Danio rerio: one gene and its partner. The main gene of each other region encodes a partner of the protein of the gene in region 2 in a complex. Links are inferred from orthologs where the notes say so. Each region holds a gene or a part of one and is shown on either strand. Other genes may lie near its edges.

The links. Proteins that work in one complex are often made in the same cells at the same time.
Region 1: timm29 (region 2) and timm22 share a complex: the UniProt entries of both Homo sapiens proteins name them as parts of the TIM22 complex. The link is inferred for Danio rerio from reciprocal best matches to the Homo sapiens genes TIMM29 and TIMM22.

The regions. Positions count from the first base shown.
Region 1 is NC_133180.1:68,924,536-68,927,829, reverse strand, and holds the end of timm22 (mitochondrial import inner membrane translocase subunit Tim22), read right to left. Parts: intron 1,174-3,294; coding exon 1,101-1,173; intron 987-1,100; coding exon 910-986; 3' UTR 573-909; downstream 1-572. UniProt on the Homo sapiens protein: Essential core component of the TIM22 complex, a complex that mediates the import and insertion of multi-pass transmembrane proteins into the mitochondrial inner membrane. In the TIM22 complex, it constitutes the voltage-activated and signal-gated channel.
Region 2 is NC_133178.1:33,033,198-33,036,695, reverse strand, and holds timm29 (mitochondrial import inner membrane translocase subunit Tim29), read right to left. Parts: upstream 2,184-3,498; 5' UTR 2,174-2,183; coding exon 2,071-2,173; intron 1,438-2,070; coding exon 782-1,437; 3' UTR 563-781; downstream 1-562. Other genes in the region: protein YIPF2, read left to right, coding at 3,062-3,092, 3,192-3,343, 3,438-3,498. UniProt on the Homo sapiens protein: Component of the TIM22 complex, a complex that mediates the import and insertion of multi-pass transmembrane proteins into the mitochondrial inner membrane.

The DNA.
Region 1 (3,294 bases), on a different chromosome or scaffold from region 2:
TTTACCATAAAATAACGGCCATTAAATTACAGACATTTACTGTAAAATAACGGCCATTAAATTACAGACATTTACTGTAAAATAACAGATGGCAAATTACAGACATTTACCGTAAAATAACAGATGGGTAATTACAGACATACTGCAATTTAATTGCTATTATTACTTTAAATTACACAAATGTGTCATTAAAATTATAAAACTGACCCAAGATCAAGTAAAAACTAGGAACGTTTTTAAAAAGTTCTTGCTTACAATAAACCCATTCATGGGTTCATCGGCCAAGAATGAAGAATTACCAAGCTTGAAATGTTTTGAACCAGTTGTGACATAACCAAGCCCAGTTTTATGAAATCATGTGACCTTGGCCTTGTTTGATACATGCTCCAAAAACCACTGATTTGAAACAATGTTTATGTTTTGCAAATCTGCCATCACTACTTTGACGAACAGAAAGCTGCTTGCTTTGAAACGAAAATCTGTGAGCCTGTTTTATGTTCATTATTACATTACTGAGACAATGCCAACACACTTCTTGCTTGTTCAAATACGAATTTCGCCACAACAAGTACTTTATATCATTCTTTATTTCTATCACAGACAAAGTATAACACTGTACATTTAATTATTATCATTTATTTTTTGCTCGGGCATCATCCTGTTTAACATTTACAGGTACAAATATTGTCCTAGATGTTTTTGTAGTAGTGCCATCAGATGATCTGAGACAGAAAGGTCAAGATATTCCAAACCCTGCATAAAACTTCTGCTCATTGGTCCACTGAGGCAACTGAATCTCTTCAGGAGGAACAGCTCCTGATTGGTGGAAGAAAGAAAGGCTGGACATTGTCTTCCATTATACAGTGAGCAGCTCACAACTGTACAAGCCAACAGTCCTAAAGCTGATCTTCATCGGAGGTAATATTCAATGGCAGCAGAGAAGGCAGCAAAGCCTCCACAGCCCAGAACTCCAGCTTTAAGGCCGGCTAGAGAAGAGAAGCACAGCTCATTGAAATAGTCCAACTTATGATAATAAAAATGAGATGATATTTAAATGTGGGATGTTTAAAAAAAATAAAATATAATCAAAAAAGACTTGCCTCTGAATCCGATGGCACCTCCTGTAATACAGCCACTGTATACTGCATTCTTCCAGTCAGACTTCCCACGATGCTGGTAAAAAATAAAAGCATTTTTCAGAGAGAGAAATAAAATGGCCTTTGAAAAATCTCTACAATGGACACTTTTCACATTTCTGGGTTTCTCAGTAGTGGAAGTCGTCATGGTTGGGTAAACTTGGAGCGCAGTGAATGGGAGCCAATCTAGAGCCATATATACATGCAAAATAAAAGAACGTTTTTTTGAGCAAAAATAAATAAACGAAAATCCCCCAAACGGGGGAAATAAGTTTTAAGAAATAAATATGAATTTTGCAAAAAAAAAAAAAACTGCAAATAAATCAAGCAGTTAAAAAAATATTTCACTTTGTGAAAAAAAGGGGAGCAGAGTCAAGGGAACCTGGAAGTTTATGGCAGGCCCAGACCTGCCTCCATTTAAGCGACGTCATCAGCTAGAGACACAGTATCACCGAGGTGGTCTTACAGCCAAGTAGCTCCAGCCTCTGCCCTTTGTCAAATTAGGGCCACAAAGTGAAACGTGCAGAAATGTAAAGTGCAAAATAAAAACAGCATCGTAGACTCACGGTTGACTAAAAAGCTAATCGAAATGAACATTGCAATTGACTGGACGGGTTTTGTAAAGGCTATGCTATCAAAGATGTTTTGCAAATATATTGTAGTTTTTTATAGCAAATATTTCCGTTTTTTTGCACTGCTTAACTTGTATTTGCAGTTCTTTTTTGTTTGCAAATTTCATTTTTATTTCTTAAAACTTCATTTTCCCTTTGCAATTCTTTATTTTTATCAGAATATTTTTACTTTTTAAAAAAAAAAAAAAATTCGCTTGCGATTTGCATTTATTTATTTATTTTTGCTCAAGACTTTGTTTTTGTTTGCAAAACTTTCTTTTATTTTGCATGTATATATGGCTCTAGATTGACTCCATATACAACAAATATTTTTACAATCTTATTTGCTGAAATAATAAAATGAATCTCCACAATGGTGTAATCAAGACTTTCAGAAAAAGAAATAGTGTCAGACTGATAATGACAGACAGTAAAGAGAACAACGTCCCGTCAAATGTACTGTCCCGTCCATAGACGCTCCATTACAAATGCCTCACACAAGCGGTAATTCATTTTTTGTAATTTGATGCAAAGATTATTTAATACATACATAAATACATATCCCTGCTGAAACAAAATGCTTAAATCAACCTAGGCTGGTTGGCTGGTCATGCTGGGAGATGACCAACTAAAACCAGCTTGACCAGCCAAAACCTGCAATGTCCAGCTTAAACCATGCTTGTCAATCTGGTCATTTTCCAGCCTGAACAGCTAAGAAAAGGCTGGAAAAGGTTCATGATGTTTTTTAAAAATCAAAATATTAAAAACTTTCAAGGATTTAAGATGGCGATGACCGTTAAACACATCATAACGAGTGAAATGAATAGATGATCAGAAAGTGTTCAAATACAGAACCACTAGGTGGAGACAATAATCCACATTAAACTGAATGTGCAGCAAAAGATGCTTCTATGAGTGGTGCATTTAATGTTTTAACTTTAGTGAAATATTCAAACATTGTGTACTATTTTATACAGTCTAAACTGATATATCATTTATGCTGATTAGTACGTGATATAAAACATAAACAGTGTGAAACAGGTTTGAATATGTACTGGGATTATGAAGTGACACACTAGTGAATATCTTATTTTGAACAGCTATCATCAAGACAAAAATTGAATGATGTCTATTTTACATTTACTAATATATTACAAATGTGTGCTATTCTAAGTACAAAAAAAGATATTTATATTATTAGATTACATTTATATTTGTATTAGATAATCCATGATCTATAGGAAAATTATCAATCATTAGCAGCTTTTTGGTACAGCAATAGTTCTAAAATAATGAAAAATAAATTGCAGACAGCCCAAAATAAGTTGTGTAGAATTATTATGAAAGTTCCTCCACTGACACATTTAAATAAGGAACATTATAGTCAAAGTCATTTTTTAAAAGTTGAGAAAGTTTTTAGGACTTTAAAAAAAACAGTCCCAAAATATTTTCTTAATTATTCTGTTTTAGTCAGCCAGGTGCACAGTCATTCTACAAGAGCATGCAGCAGGGATTTTTACCCATACAGATTCAAGAGTGAATCAGGT
Region 2 (3,498 bases):
AAATATCTGACTGCGTGTCACCGCATCCCTAAGGACTGTTTGGCGAAATATTTGACTGCATGTCAACGCATAACAAACGACTGAAACTATATAACTAGAGAAATCTCCACTGTGCTGCTGAGTGACAGCGCTTCTCACTGAACAGCGCAGCATCGATGACGTAAGTGTGCCCAGGCCCGATTGTAGTGTGAGTGCAGGCCGTCGGGGGAGACAAGAGGGGGGACAAGCGTGCTTTGGCCCGGTTCGAGGCAACTGTACCTAGTGTGAGTACGGCCTAATTTAGACAACACAGCTTAAAATTAAGAAAGCAACTTTTCACATTTGTTTACCCTTTGTTTTCTGAAAATGCCATTTTAAAAAAAATAATAAAACCTTTAAATAACAATATTTTAGGAAAATTTTTTAAATAGAATTCTGAACAAAACAAATACACACAACATTATACCTTTGCCTAAATATTGTGTGAGTTTTCCTTCACTGACGGAGAATTAATCAACTTAAAAGACATTCATATTTTTGCTGAGCTGATGTAGTACTAATAATCCATTCACATAACACAATGTCAGCATATACTGCAGCTGTTTTAATGTACTTGTAGGCAGCAAGTCACACTTTTCTGCATATCTTTAGTGGTAAAATGTTTCTTTACTTGCATAAACACATTCTAATCATCATTCCTCGTCTTTAGTAGTACAAGAATGTCTCCTACTACATTCCTTGTTAACAGTTGATCCTTCTTGTATGAAAAACAGCATTAATTTTACCACGTCCATCAATACATTTATGCTTTGATGCTTTCTTTTCCTTTATCAGCTGTGTCCATGTCTTTCTGTACACCCTCTAACTCACTGCTCTCCTCATCCATCACAACAGCTTTCCATGAGTCCTCATGCAGCTTTTCGTTTCTTTCAGTTATTTGTGGTGATGGTGGGACTGTTGCCACCAGAGCGGGAGGAAGATGTTTGAACTCCTCCTCGTTTATATCAAAGTCCTTCATTTTATGATCAAGCACCCACCAGCGTCCCGCAAAGCCCACGTCCAGCACACGCTTATGCAGCTCGGACCAGGGCACAGAGATGGCAGAGCATCGCGCTTCATACAGGCTAGACTCAGCATCGTAGTCTGCGTAATAAGTCAAAGAGGCGATGCCCAGACTGGCATAGCGCAGCCTGCCCTCGTTTCGCAGCTTCACAAGGGTCTGGATGTGTCCATCTGAGGTGCCACTGCGTATCCATGGCGACAGGAGAGCTAGGCGGTTGGAGGTTTCCAGCAGGCTGGTCTCAAAGGAGGAATCATCAGGGTTGGTGTAACAGCAAGCGTACATTCCTCCCAGAACACCCAGGTAGACTGAAGCTTTGAGGGGTCGATCACGGGCCCCTACCACCGCCTCACGACAAGCCTCCTTATAGTCAGTTAAAAGACTGCGGAACCATACACCTGAAAACAGCCGAGAGATTAACAGAGTTTAGACAAACCATTCACTGCTGGCTAGACCTAAACTGCGTTTCGTTGCATTGTACTTGTACATGTGTAATGACAATAGTTTAAAAGTTTAATCGAATCTAAAATTCAGTTTATATAAAGTCATTTATTACAATTAAAACAGTACGTTCACTCAGATATTTTAATTACGTCTTTATATAGTCAGTTTTTTTTTCTTTAAACCTACTTAGTCTCTTTAGATATTTAGAATAATGCTGAAAACACAGTTGTGATTGACTATTATGGTATTTTCCCCATCTAAGAATATCAATGGCTTCCAATTGCAACATTTTTCAAAGTATCTTCTGCATTTTTTAAGGGATGGAGCTATATTTTAATTAGGAATACTACAAACTGAAATACATTCTTAATGCTATACTGTAAATCTGAATGAATTATAATAAAGTTATTGCATAAGTTGCTGCTGCGGTTATGCAGGTAAATGTTAACATGTATACATTACCCAGAAATCAGATAAATACAAGAAACTTACACTGGACTAGCGTATCTGGGTAGCTAAGGGTAATATCAATCTTATCTTTAATACTCATTCCAGAAATGGGGAAAATGATAAGCATTTAGTCTTACCTGCGCGACCGTTTCTTAGCCTTTCCCACCGTGTGCCCTTGGCTGTCACTGTAACGTTAGCTGCCGTGGAGCACCATCTCTTCAGCAGCCACGAGGCGGCCATGTTAGCAAATGAACTCGAGTAAGTGTGAAAGTTCAGAGTTCACGGTGAATGTGCACAGGAAGAGGTTTCAGCCGAGAGTTTCCAAATCTTGATAAACGTAATAGTGCTGCATGGTGAAACTGTTGAGCCAAAATGGCGAGTACACGGTACGTGAAATGTTATTGTTCCGGAGAGGAAACACAAAGTTCCTTGCCCCATTCCACCAAACAAAATTTTGCCCCGTTTTGTCAGTTATAACAGATGTCAATCGAAGGTCCATACGGACTAAGACATACACATTAATAACAGTATACTAACGCTACAACACTGAATAGAAAAGATAAAGTATGTTTAATTAAACAATACAATAGTTTGCATAATTTCAATCACATTAAGAAGAAAAACACAATTCCATGTTTTATAGCTAGTAATAATAGTTTATAGTAATTTTATCATATTATGCTCAGGTTGTTTTCAATTCCCATTCAGGTAGCCAACACACATTTTAGTTCCGGCTTTGTTCCGGTCACGTGATTGTGTTTTGACGCAGCGGAACCCTGCAGGTGACGTGGAATATGGGGACGATAACGCTAAATCCTTGTGTATTAAAACTGCATCAAATGATTTCTATCTGTAATCGAATCGTTTGCAGATATTATTGATCCCACTTAGCCAAAGGGTGTTACAAAACACCAGCCGAGCTGACAAAACGATTGTTTTTGTATTTGCTAGCTCGACACAAGCTGAATAATAGCAGCATCAGGAAACACACTGCTGGATTATCAGCCAGGTGAGTGAGTCAAGTCTAAATCTGTTCAGATTTCAGTGGTAACAGCTGTCGTGTGATTAAATTATTTGTAATTTACAGTCGTTTTTCCCTTGAAGAGTGAATTCGTATGATCTCCAGTCATGGCTAGTCCAGATGATTTAAAGTTTCAAGGTAAGGATTGTGTTCATCTGTAACGTTATGTACCTTACTGTTCAGGTGTCTCTGTTTTAATCTGTTTTAAGTTGTGTCTGTTGTTTTTCACATGTTCAGAGTTTGAAGAAGCCGAAGATCTCCTGTCCTCAAATCCTGGAGCCTCAACCCTCAGCATCTCCAGCTCAAACCCAGCAGCAGCAGCAGCCCCATCTGGAGAGGTCAGACTCGACCTGTCCGACGATGAAGAGAATCAGCAGGAGAGTTCAGAGGTGACACGCCAAACAAAACGGTCACAACATATCACAAGCAGCTAATTTAGTCACTCACTGGTTGTTTTTCCACATTGTGCAATATTCTCCACAGTTGCTTGGAGGGGAAAAGAAAACTGGTGGGTTTTGGACGTTTGAATACTATCAGTCGTTCT